Linked DNA regions of Mus musculus. The protein of the gene in region 1 interacts with the protein of each later gene in a biochemical or structural test. Links are inferred from orthologs where the notes say so. Each region holds a gene or a part of one and is shown in the gene's direction. Other genes may lie near its edges.

The links. The genes of interacting proteins can lie anywhere in the genome.
Region 2: the proteins of Sntg1 (region 1) and Plekha1 form a complex in vitro, tested with the Homo sapiens proteins (2 studies listed by BioGRID and IntAct, with this or other methods). The link is inferred for Mus musculus from reciprocal best matches to the Homo sapiens genes SNTG1 and PLEKHA1.

Annotation. Positions count from the first base shown.
Region 1 is NC_000067.6:8,675,520-8,682,165, reverse strand, and holds part of Sntg1 (gamma-1-syntrophin), read left to right. Parts: intron 1-136; coding exon 137-193; intron 194-3,035; coding exon 3,036-3,093; intron 3,094-4,185; coding exon 4,186-4,229; intron 4,230-4,317; coding exon 4,318-4,359; intron 4,360-6,646. UniProt on the Homo sapiens protein: Adapter protein that binds to and probably organizes the subcellular localization of a variety of proteins. May link various receptors to the actin cytoskeleton and the dystrophin glycoprotein complex.
Region 2 is NC_000073.6:130,863,107-130,869,852, forward strand, and holds the start of Plekha1 (pleckstrin homology domain-containing family A member 1), read left to right. Parts: upstream 1-2,617; 5' UTR 2,618-2,877; exon of another isoform or gene 2,878-2,894; intron 2,895-2,960; exon of another isoform or gene 2,961-3,607; intron 3,608-6,746. UniProt on the Homo sapiens protein: Binds specifically to phosphatidylinositol 3,4-diphosphate (PtdIns3,4P2), but not to other phosphoinositides. May recruit other proteins to the plasma membrane.

The DNA of each region.
Region 1 (6,646 bases):
CAAATGCAATCGTTGACATCTCCTTTGTTGTCAAATATTTTTCTCCAAAATGTAAACAGCAATGTCAAAAACTACAAGAAAAAAGTGTCATTAGTGTGAAGAAACACTCAGCACTCTTAAATCTCTTGTCTTCCAGGAAAGAACGGTGACCATCAGAAGACAGACAGTAGGAGGATTCGGATTAAGCATAAAGGTAGTCACCTTCTAGTCTGTCTTTTCAAAGACTGCCCTGTAAAGGCTAACTTTTGTATACTTTGTTGTTGGTACTCATGACTAAAAATGAATGGTTTTGTGATGTGTAGAGTGGGTTGTAATCTGGGATGTTCTTACAGAACCTGATATCCATTATCTTCTCATTTAGATTTACAGGAAAAGACTGGGATCACACCTAGTGTTAAGTAAAACTTGGTAGTTTCCTTCCTTCCTTCCTTCCTTCCTTCCTTCCTTCCTTCCTTCCTTCCTTCCTTCCTTCCTTCCTTCCTTCTTTCATTTCTTCCTTTTTTTTAAGGATTAATTTAATTTATGTATGTGAGTAAATTATGTATGTGAAAACACTGTCACTGTTTTCAGACACACCGGAAGTGGGCAACTGATCCCATTGCAGACAGTTGTGAGCCACCAGGTTGTTTCTGGGTCCTCTGAAAGAGCAGTCAGTGCTCTTAACTGTTGAGCCATCTCTCTAGCCCTTGGAAGCTTTCTTTATGTGGCTTCCCATAAAGATGAAATATGCTGGTGGCAAGCATTTTTTCCTTCTTCTCCATTACAGAAGATTGATGGATAGAGTCAGGCAGATCTCATATGGAGGGTTCCTGGAGACATGGGGAGTAGAGATCTATCATAATTATCTTTTTGCTTGATTTTCACTTTGTTAAAAAGATTCATAAACATCACTTATCAGTTCCAAGTTTTGATTATTATGATACTTAAGAGCTTTTTAATCTGTACGGTGTTAGATGGTAAAGATGTATCACTCATTAAAATGATTGATAAAATTGAGAGAATTCAATTGTATGTGAATAATTAAGACTCAATCAAAGAACTTTAATTCTTTCGATCAAGCTGACTTTCTGAACACCTAAATGAAGGCTGTTATTTATAATAATTCTTCAGTTTGTATATACTTACTAAATCTTTGTTTCAGATTTAAAGAAATTTTATCCAGTTGCTGTTTTCTATGTCAGGAATAGGGTATTTTGAAATTTTGCCTATCACCTCTTGTCAGTTTTGTCAAAATGACTTAATACATTGACCATGTGTAGTAATAAGAATTTCAATGTTCAAAATGTGAGTGTTAAAACATACTTTATATATACTTGCTATCATCTCAGGCAAAGAACTGATGCAGAATAAATTATAGGATATGTAAATTAGGCTATGGAAACATATTTTTTTCCCAAACAACCCCTTGTTGTTTGCTCCAGTTATAATCAATGTTGCCACATAGTAGAGGCATAGTGAGACCTGCTAAAGGAAACTTAATGACTTAGCTAAGGATAGCAGAAAACTGCTGTGGTGCCCATTGTACACTGAGTGTACAAATTATTGATTAGACCTTCCTTCATAATTCCCAGAGCATGCTGCGTGCAGACAACTCTTAGGTCTCCCAGGTGTGGGCCCCTCTGTGCAGTGTTTGGATGAATCCTCAGACCTTGCTGCTATGGTTCTCACTGTGTATTGCATATGCAGATATTCCTTCAGCTCACCATTTTGCATTTTGTTTGAAATTCAATAGCAAGCAATGCCAATAAGATGTGATTGTCAGATTTTTTCCCAACACTTTATTTACCAATGCACGTTAGACAGGACTGGAACTTCAAATATAGGTTAAATTGTGGGTCCTGAATTAGGACCATGCCAGTTTATGACACTGCCTCTTTCTGTATTTGATGAAGGTTGGGGTAAATGGACATAGAGCTCCTTAGTAAGATATATTAAGTTTAAAAAAATAAGCTGATTAGTGGTTTTGAAAATCAACTTAAATAACATTATAGTTTTATTGTTTTACTTTTATTACCTCAGTAGTAAAAACAAAATAAATAAAAGTTTAAAAAATATAATTGAACACTAATGATTTTTTATAAGTGATTTTCTGTAACATATCTAATTCTTTTTAGTGTTGCAAATGGATGCTCATGGGTGAATGTATCTTAAGATCCTGTATTTATGCTTATGGGCAGCTTCAGGAGTTATTTACTGTAAACGTAGAACAGCACCAGTGCCTTTAGACGGCTCCTTCAGCCCCTGTGCTGAACATGTGCATGTTTTCTTTATACAACACTTCAGCTGTTCATGTATGCATGTGGCTTTTAGCTACCATATCAAACTTCTTATACTGTAATGGCAAGACGACAGGCTTCTTCTGGCAGTTACTCTAAGAATTGTTTTTATTTTATTTTATCAGAACTTTGATTCATTCTTCTTCTTTCATTCCATTTAAATTTGAGCCAGTACCTGAGTGTGGCTATAGAGTTCTTGGTTTTGTGTTTTGTACTGACAATTGTTTAATCTATGCTTTCACACATGGGAATCTAATTCTAATTAGGACACACAGATGGTTCTGTTCCCTTGGTACTCAGAATTTATTTATCTACTTGTGCTAGTAAAGAGCCTCTCTGGCTACTTAGCATTCAGAATGTAGCCTGAAAGAGTGCCTGCTAGGCAGGAGAAAATAAAGTAATCAGAGAATTGATATGTATAAATATCTGATGTTTAGAATCCTGAGTAACAACTGTCAAGATGTCTTGCATTCCTATACAGGACTTTGAAGAGAATGCCACTACTGACGTTAATCAATCTTATTTGAGAAATAAATTTTTTTAGTCAACTTTTATTAATTAGCAAGTGTTATCAGAGTACGTAAACTTTATGGAAATGCTGCCACTTAAAAAGTCCTACGCATTTGTTTTAATGCTCTCTGGTGTTCGCTTGATGCACTATTTATAGCTTGCTGTTTGGTTTTTTTTTTTTTTATTGTTTTGGCTAAAAGTGGAAATTTGAAGAGCTTAAATACATGACACATAACTGTCTCTTTCTAGGGAGGTGCAGAACATAACATCCCGGTTGTCATTTCCAAAATATCTAAGGAGCAAAGAGGTAATGTATTTATCTAACCTTTTAGTGGCCAGTCTGCTATAAGTCTTGTCCACAGATAATTCAGTGAGTGGTATACGAATGTCTTCCCTGGATTCCCAGCCTCAGGAGTGGAGAGGCTAAATCCGATTCTCCAGATCTTCTGGATCCCCCTACAGGACAGAAAGGGAAAATTGATAGACTCTATGTAACAGTCCAAATGATCATATAAAAACTGAGGAGTTCACAGCTTCTGAACTGTTCATTAAAGACACAAAAATTAAGTCACATTTCATGGAGTAATTTAGATATAATCGTTTTTCTCAATTTTAGTTAATTCCTGTGAAGGTTCATCAATGATGAATATACAAATCAAGTTTTCACTGACAATCAGGAAAACAACATACTATTTCTCAGTAAGTGTGAAACTGACAGATATCAAGTCTATATCTCAGGTATTTGCACAGAGATATAATAAATACATAAAGAAATTGATCACCCATTAAGAAGAGTGATCAATTTTCAATGAATGCACATACATACCTTCAGACATAAACACACATATATGTATATACACACATATATGTATATATGTATATATGTACGTCATATACATACACACACACACACACACACATATATATATATATATATATACATATATATATATATATATACATACATATATACATATATCTTTGAGAATTGTGTACAACATGCTTTGGTCATATTAATATTCCTTCCCCCTCCACTCTTTCCAGACAGTATCTCTTGAGAAGTTTACCATGGTCCAGGTGAAAGCCACACATCCAAGAATATTTGGGCAGCATAGATTGGCATTGCTGCAAAAGAAAACTCACAAAGCAGGGAGGGTAGTGACCATGTTATAAGGACTATAAAGGAAGAACTGTTAGACCGAAGGGAAATGTCTGCCTATTTTAGCAACTGAAAAGAACTAAATCATATTATTGAGTTTCTACTCTTTGTGGACCCTACAAAATGCTAGCGATCTAAAATGTTCATACTTTGTTTACAATTTTACCCTTAATTAAAAGAAAAAAACCCCTTTGTTTATTTGAGAAATGCCAAGGTGTGTTCAATTATTCTCATTCACAGCAGAGCTGTCGGGGCTGCTTTTTATTGGAGATGCAATTCTACAGGTACGCATTTCATCATCATCTATGTGGATGCAAAGAAAAGCCAGTTTATAACACACTATGTGGAACTGAGCTTTGCCTTTCATTGCAGATAAATGGAATTAATGTGAGGAAATGCAGACATGAGGAGGTGGTGAGTTTACTTTTTTTTAAATGCTGTCATTTCTCAACTTCAAGTACAGCTTTGATGAATTGCTAAAACCACAATCTTGTTAATTATGAAGGTATAAAATTATATAGCATCTTAGTAATCTGTCAGAGACCTTACAATCCATTTTGGCTCTTAGAAATACAATTATATGTGCTGTCATAATGAAATGTATTTCAAGGCGAATTACTTAAAGTTTTCAAATACTTGAAAGTTTATGACAAAAGGAATTGATTTCTGTAAATTTTTAATAGCATTAGGGGCAAATAGAAATGCATATAAATGTGTGTGTGTGTGAGTGTGTGCGTGCACGTGCACACACAGTCGGATGTAAAGGAGAAGGGAATGACAGTAAAAGAAGAATTTACCAGCAATTTCACTGTGGCATTTTCTTGAATTCTTTTAGATGTGCAGACCAGATACAAACATTTTAACTCAGACAGCTGAGACATAGAAGTTGAGTTTTAGCAACCATTATAAGTGACTAAACTGTAAATGTCTTCTAGTCTATACTTAAATGGAAAGATTAAAGAACATCTATTGCAGATAATGAGCCTTGCAAAATTGAACAAGTGTTAGACATTTGGGAAAATATTGGTAAAATTGACTAAACATCATGGAGAAGTCACTAATTTTTTTTTTTGCTAGTTCCTATTGGAAAAGATAAAGAGAAGCTAAATTTAAGATACACTCAAAGATGAAAAAGAAGTTATTTTGATGTATTTATATATTTAAAATCTTAGAAAGAAAGCTGCAAGTGTCTTTGTGAAATTTCCATTTCACATATAGTGCTGTTTGCAGAGAGCTGGGCCTCATGGTCTGCTGTTATTGGCCAATGACTTTGTAGTTAGAAAAGCATATTCAGGTTATTCTCTTGGTACTATGTGTTGAAAATCCTGTACAATCCTTGGACTTCCTGTAAATCTTTGCAGAGCAAGGTTATATGTCAGGGGACAATTTGCAGCAGATGAGAGACCAGTACAATTCCTGTTTTGCAGATCTCAGCCACATAAGCAAGGGAACTTTATTTTCAGTCTTGCAACTCATTATCGAGAAAGAGAAAAATAAAGTGTGTTCTCTTTTCAAACCACATGCTGTTAGTTGAAATCACATTTGTGGTTTGTTCTTCAAAGGCACATAGCTTGCTTAGACCTACTTTGCTAGAGCTATGATTAAACAGATAAGCATAACATGAAGATTAATACTAATAGCCTAATGTAGGATGGTATATATTCTGATCCTAAGGGAAGTTATTAAACATTACTAATTACACATAGTTATTCATAACAAAGACATAGAGAAGCTTACTTTTATTGGCTTTGAAATATATGTACCTTTTTTTTTGGTAGTGGTGGGTTTTTTGGTTTGGTTTGGTTTTGTTTTGTTTTGTTTTGTTTTGTTTTTATTGCTGTTTGTTTTTGTTTTTGGAGAAAGTCTTTCTGCATAATCCTGGCTATCCTGAAACTTACCTTATAGATCAGGATGGGTTTGAACCCACAGAAATTTGCGTGCCTCTGCCTCCTGAATGCTGGATTAAAGGTGTACATCACAACATCCATCTACAGTCATGCTTTTATTTAACTCTAATTTATTTGACTCTAATCTTTGCATTTCAAAGGCAATTAGAAATTTTCCTTTTGTTTTAATGCCTTTGTGATTGTATACTACCTCAGAGAAACTGAGGCTTGTTGAAGAAGAAATGTATATGGGTCAAAATGAACAGAGCTCAAATGATATAAGTAATTATGGATTATTATACTCATATAAATACTCTTTCTGAAGTTCCTGTTTCAAAAATAAATAAATTGACTGGTGTGACAACATACTGGTTTGAAGGAAGATTTCTTTTGCTAGTCTCTGGTACCGTTGGAAATCATTGATTCAGCCCCTCTCGAGAAACAGGATTTGCTGGCAGACCTGATACTGAGTTTGACTTGCAGGTTAGGTTCTGTCTAAAGGAATCCTACACTGTTAACTGAGATCGCTCAGTAGGGATTCTTTAGCTGAATACCTTAAATGAGCTCACAGAAACATCTGTGTTTTACCAGATCAGGCTGAAATAAGTCAGATTTGAGCTTCCTACTTTGCCCAGGGCCTACTTTTGTACTTGAAGCCTGGAGTAAAGATTCCTGAAGAATAAAATTTGTAGTTGTTCACTAAAAATCTTAGAACTAGTGTCTGGTGCCAATTTGGGGAGTGTGACATGATATGCACACTGGGCACTAAATCTCAAAAGCAGCTATGTTCTGATCCTGGCTAGACTGCTTTGTGC
Region 2 (6,746 bases), on another chromosome or scaffold:
TTCTATTCTAGCGGGACAGAAGGAAAATAAGACCAATCAGATATGTGGGTGATGTTCTGCTCAGATTTGTGTAAATAATATGTGAGTGCTGCAAAGGAGAAAAAGTAAGGCACAAAGGTTCAGGGTGTTCCTGGGGAAGGGAAGTCAGAGACCGTATCAAAGAGGAAAATGACAGTTGGGAGGTGGAGGCAGGCAGATGTCTGTGAGTTCGAGAGCAGCAAAGTCTACAGAGTGAGTTCTGCTACACAGAGAAACCCTGTCTCAAAAACTAAAAACAAAAGTAAAAATGAGAGGGGGGCGGGGAGGAAAATGACACCCAGTAGCACCAGATGCGTTTGGACTAGTCTCCTGGCTTGTGTACCCCGGTCTGCTTGGCTCTATCAGAGGGGCTGGTATCTTGCTGTTAAGTGTGTAGAAAGAAACCAAGGAGTATTTAGAATAAAACACCCAAGTACTTCATCCGTGTGAAGTATGGTGATGACGGGGCAGCGATGCTTCAAAGGTACTTTGAAGTTTACAAAGCCTTCGGTCCAGACTGGCTCTGGGAAGTATTCTAGCGTGCCTCTGCTCTTTCACTCCGTCCTCTTTCATTTGGTTTGCTGTCAGACTTAATCTCAGCATAGGAATATCTCACATGCTTACACTTTTTTCTTAAGTAACAGCGAAAGTACTTATGTTATATAATGAACTGAAGAAAGGGGGGTAGGGCAGAGGAAGAGCAGAGAGCCTTTTATCTTCTATACCTACCCTTCTTTCAGCCTCTGAACTTAAAGGCACATCAGGAATTCTCAAGTTTTGGCTGGACCCCAACCTCAAAGTAGCCCGGAGAATACTTCGGCTGTGTGTCATTGGGCAAATTGAATCCCTTCTCTGGTTTCTGTCACTGTGCATACATTTAACTCTCAGTGCCAAATAAGCTTTAGGATTCATTATGTGATTGCACACTGCTTAGTCAAATGGTAACGACAATCAGGAGAATGGCTCTCTCGTCCAACGCAGAGGGGGTTGATAGAGAGGCTCACGGCTTCAGGGTTAGGGATTTCCCATCACGAAAAGACACTGAACTTGAATTTGACTTTTAGATTGTGTTGGTTGAACTTAATTGCTAACTTGATGTGGGGGGTGGGTGAGGGGAGGGGGAAGAGAGGGAGAGGGAGAGGGAGGAAAGAACTCAGGGCATGTCTGTGAGGGAATTTCCAGAGTTTACCTGAGGAGATAAGACCCGTCCTGAATACGGGCCAGATGCGCTCTGACTGACCCTCATTCTTCTGTTACCGTACCTACCCTACCAGGATGAACCATGCAGACCCTCAACCTGTGAGCCAGAATAAGCCCATCCTAACTTAATTGCTTTTCTCTGTTACAGATTTGCAAACAGCCAATTCGTTATGTACATTCTAATCACTCCCAATGGAATCTCCTAGGGCTCCAAGGGCTGAAAAGCCAGGAATTTCTTTCAGATCTTCAAGCCAAGGAAAGTTAGCTCAAAAAACCTGAGAAAATCAGGTGACATTTGGATTTTTATGTGAAAACTTTTTTTAAAACTTCATCTATACATTCAGTTAAATCAGCAAAAGCCCAGTGCATGGGCCAAATGAAAGGGCTGCGCTGGCAACTCTATGGACTCTTTCAACCAGTCTGTAGATAAGGAAAGGAGTCTTCTTGCTCCCACCTGAAGAAGAGCCAGATGGCCCTCAGCAAGGCTGTGTAGCTGAGATTTCTAAGAAGGTAAGGTGCTGATCGTCTTCGATGTTGGAGATTTGAGGTGGAGAGTCAGCACGGGCAGTTTGCCAGTTCTACCCCTCCAGTCTCTCATCTAGCATAGCCTAGTTGTCCCACGTACACGACAGAGGAACCTTGTCATGAGAAAGGTTGATAAAACACTCTCAAGTGAGAGGGCATGATCCCCAGCTGTGCAGGATACAAACCCCCAAACGTTTATTGAGAGCCTCAGTGTGTGTCACTCACTGGGAAAAGTGGGGTATGTAATTCTCTCCCAGTTCTTTTGCATGTTTAAATATCTCACCTTCTTCAGGTTTCAGCTGAAATATCTCTTCCTTAGAGAATGCTGCTGGACAGGACATCCTCTCTGAAGCCTGCCTCCCTATCTCTATCTCTGAAGCTCATTCTTTTCTTCCACTTATTAAAATGTATAAGGATTGTATTTTGTAAAGGGCTAGCTCCCCTTATGAAACACAGGCTCCACGAGGGCAGGGACTTCATACACTGAGGTTGCTCAACAAATAGGCTGAATATTTTAAAATATCTCCTTGAAAGAGTTTTGAGCAATCCTTTTAAATTTCCTTGGCCTCTTGCATTAATACCACTATTTTAAGGATGAGGTGAAATTGCATTTTGAGAAAGAAATGGTTAGGAGCAAAAAACTGGTGCACAACCAGTGAATTTTATGTTTCTTGTACCCACTATGGGACAGCTTGCAAATTATCTGCAAAGGAACCAAACCTATTTTTAAAGATCCCTGTGCCTCGCAGCTCTAGGTGATGACATCAGAGAACCTCTAGTTCCACGTCCTAAGCCGAGCCTCGTGGTCCTCAAAAACTGCAAGCCCCAGGATGCAGCGCGGCATGGGGAACCCAGCGCCCCGCGCGCGGCCGCGAGCCACCACCCTGGAACTAGGAAGACGCCCGATTCCTTTGCCCGCCACGCCGCCGGGCGTGCGCGGAGCCTGTCGGGACTTGTAGTGTTCGCGGTAGGGAGTGCCCGCTCCGGAATCTCAGTCGCTGTCTGGTCTGGTAGAGGCAGCGCGTGCACGCGTGCGCAGTGCGCGGGCGGGCCGTCGTGGGCGCCGCTCCCGGCAGCTGGGTGCCTGAAGGAGCCGGGACCGCGGTGGCGCGGGTGCTCCGGGCGGAGGCCGCGGTAAAGTGGGGCATGAGGTGTGCAGCTCGGGTGTGCGTGTGTGGAAGGGGAAAGCGGGGCGAGGAAGGCAAGGCTGAGGCGGCCACCGGCTGCTGAGGGGGGCGCGGGGCCGCGCCTCCTCGCGCGTCCGCGGGCGCGCGCACCTGGGCGAGGCCGGACTCACCTGTGCGCGGGTTCCTCTGCGCCCGACGCCAGCCCTGCGGGTCCCCGCCAAGGCCCACAGCCCCTGGTGTCCTCGCTGCCGTCGCCGTGGCTCGGCCCCTGTCGGGGATCCCGGTGGCGACGCCTGTCGGAGCGGCGCGCCTCCAGGGCCGTGTCCGCCCCATCCGCGCCGCTCGCTCCCGCACAGCCCGGCTTCCCCGCGTGTGCGGACCGAGAGAGTGGCAGGGTTGGGAGTGCCCTGGCCAAGGTCAGGCGGGTGGGACCCGAGAGGCGCCTGAACTCTGGGTTCGGGACTTGGAAGAGGGCTGCCCTGCTCGGCTTCTGGTTCCTTTCGGATGCTTTCTATTGACCCTCCCGGGAGAGTGTCCGGGGAGAAAGTGGTGTCAGGTTGAAAGCGCCCTGCTGCTGTTCGCGGTGCTCCGCTTTTGGTAGAATCCTCGTTCTGCTCGACACCCAAGCTGAGGCTCCACCGAGGGCCGAGTAAATTCAGAAACTGATGTTGTCTGGGACCGAGTCCCGAGGACAGGTTTAAGGAACAGATACCAGGTAGTTTATGGCATTTCGTTTTCTAGTTCGCCTTCCCGTTCTTTCTAATACTTGCTTGGATGAGTTGGTCGTTATCTATCTTAATAAGATTTTCTGTACTCTTGTGAAGTCGTATTGCCCTTTGTAAATTAGTTTTCTAACCAGAAAAGCTTATTTCCTGTGTGTTTAATGACCGGAACAAATAGCCCACTCCAAGGTTTATACCATTGTCTTAAGACTGTAGAGTGATCTGCTCTCTAGCTTCCAGGCTTTTTACGTTGACGGCCACTGGACGAATCTGTAGCGAAGTTTAGAAGAGTGTTAAGTGACTCAGACGCTTTGGAAGTAAAATGAAAAACCATTTTTAGTTTACAGCTGGAGATGAACTATTATTTCAAAAATAGTAACACGAATTTTGAATACAGTGCGTCTTAGTTTATCTTACCAACAAACTTGTGGCAAACCATTTTCCCTCAAATTTAAATATTCCATATTCTGGACCAACTCTTCTACAGAAAGTTGATTTTCTTCTTTAAGAGCAGAGATAAACAAGAATAGTAAGTCAGCAGAAATCAAATTAATAGCTTATTTTATAGTGTTATAAACCCTACCCTGTGCCAAATGTCAGATTTCTATTGAAAAATAACACTGTTTCAGTGGACATACTGTGAATCTGTGCTTGTAAAGAGTCACTAGCTTGCCACACACAGCAGGGAAGTGATATACATGTTGCCTTCTGTCTCCCTTTATCTTGTTGGCTTCTGGTTTCACTGTTGCTGTTGGGGGGCGGGGAAAGCAGCAGGTTTGTATCTTTTTTTTTTTTGTCTTCTGTTTGGGTTTAGCAGTGTAGCAAAATAGGAAAGACTGTGCTGTGTACATCTGTTTGGCGGAGACTGAGACAGTGGGACAGGATAAGTATACAATTGTGAGGAAACGGCCATGAGTTCATAAGCAGGAAGGACCTTTTTAGAAGTATTTAAGGATGTTAAGAATAGCATTGGATTCTTTAAACAGTTACTGTGGGCAGTATTCAAAGATAGGATAAGATGCCTAGGGCAATAGGAAGATACTTGGGAAAGGTGGAAACTTACATCTTTATGTGAGCTTTGCTGCTGAAAAACTGACTACTGGGCCTAAGGAAGTTCTTTACTGTTATGCCACTACTCAGATTGTAACTCTTGTCCTCCCCCTTTAGAATTTATAATTCAGAAGGAAATCTAAGAAATAATTTGTTAGTATAATTTAAATCAGATTTTAACATGAACTTGTTGAGTAGTGTGCATTGTCTTATTCTCATTTAAATAGCTCTGTAGTGTAAGAATGAGGAGAAAGGCTTTTGGGTGGGATGCAGTGACTGTCAGATGTGTCAGAGGCTACTCTGCTTTGGCTAGTAAGTTTCAAGAGTTGTAGCAGGGATGTTTTAAGCATCCACTGGTTGCTAGCTAGGAGCTGAAGATACACAAATAATCACCTTCCATATGCCTGAGCAGTACATTTTCTGGCATATCAAGACTTTATTTAAAATTTCAAAAATTGGTTCTGATCTGCAATAATAGATTAAGATTGATGCAATAGGAGAGAAACATCCAATTTTAGTTTTCTTTATTTAATTTTATTCATTTATTTCCACTGCTTGTGAGTAGATAGCATTTGAGAACAGAGTGACTTGTGTATGCAGTTACTTCATGAGGCGGAAGCATTCAGGGGCTTTAGAAGCTTGCCTATAGTGTGCTCAGTTATTTGTAGGAATATCTGTATGGGATGTGTTCATATAAGAAAAAGATATCCTGCCGATATCCTGCCAAGCAGTGGTGGCGCACGCCTTTAATCCCAGCACTCGGGAGGCAGAGGCAGGCGGATTTCTGAGTTTGAGGCCAGCCTGGTCTACCAAGTGAGTTCCAGGACGGTCAGGGATACACAGAGAAACCCTGTCTCGTAAAAAAAAAGAAAAAGATATCTTGTTGAAGCCACCTATAATCTCAGCACTTGGGAGTCAGAGGCAGGTGGATCTCTCTGAGTTCTAGGCCAGTCAGTCTAAATAGTGAACTTCAGGGCTTAGGATAGCCAGAGCCACATAATAGAAAAAGCTTGTCTTAGAAAGACAGACAGACAGACAGACACACACACACAGAGAGATCCTGTAGAGCTAGAGAGAGAGATCCTGTAGAGCTAGAGAGAGAGATCCTGTAGATAACTTGAGAGAGAGAGAGCCTGTAGATAACTTGCTATATAACTAGACTCCTTCAATTCAAGAGTAACTAAACAATTTAAGGATTAGTAGTTGTCCGTGGGGGGTTCTGTGTGATAAAGAATATGTGCATGTGTACATTTGTGATTCTTAGAATATATTTAAATGAACATTTGATGAGCCATTGGACAAATTGAATAGCTTTAACTCCCTCCCTCCCTCCCTCCCTCCCTCCCTCCCTTCCTTCCTTCCTTCCTTCCTGTATTTTTCTTTTCTCTTTTTCATTTTCTTCTAAGACAGGGTTTCACTTTGTAGCTCTGGCTATCCTAGAAGTCACTGTGTATATAGATTAGACTGGTCTCAAATTCAGATCCGCCTGCCTCTGCCTCCTGAGTGCTGGGATTAAAGACATGCAGCACCACTATCTGGTAAATAGATTTTAAAAGATAGTATTTTGGTGATTTTTTGAGGGGGGGGGGTTCGAGACAGGTTTTCTCTGTATAGCCCTGGCTGTCCTGGAACTCACTCTGTAGACCAGGCTGGCCTTGAACTCAGAGATCCACCTGCCTCTGCCTCCCAAGTACTGGGATTAAAGGCATATGCCACCACTGCCCGGTGGTGATTTTTATTATTATTTTTCTAGAATGTAAAAGAAATTTAGAGTCATTTAGGATTTGGAATTTTTTTTTTTTTAGAGTCAAATACTTTCCAAATAGAACTTTTAGTATGGATTGTCAATCTGATAACTTCACACTCCAAAAGTTGTGATTTTTATACCTCTAGTCAACCTTGCTTCTTATAGTGAGGGTAACCATGAATTCTCAGTTCTGGATTTTGTTTAGCCTCTTCTTTTTTTTTGTTTGTTTGTTTTTTGTTTTTTTTTTCCGAGACAGGCTTTCTTGGCTGTCCTGGAACTCACTTTGTAGACCAGGCTGGCCTTGAACTCAGAAATCTCAGAAATCCGCCTGCCTCTGCCTCCCAAGTGCTGGGATTG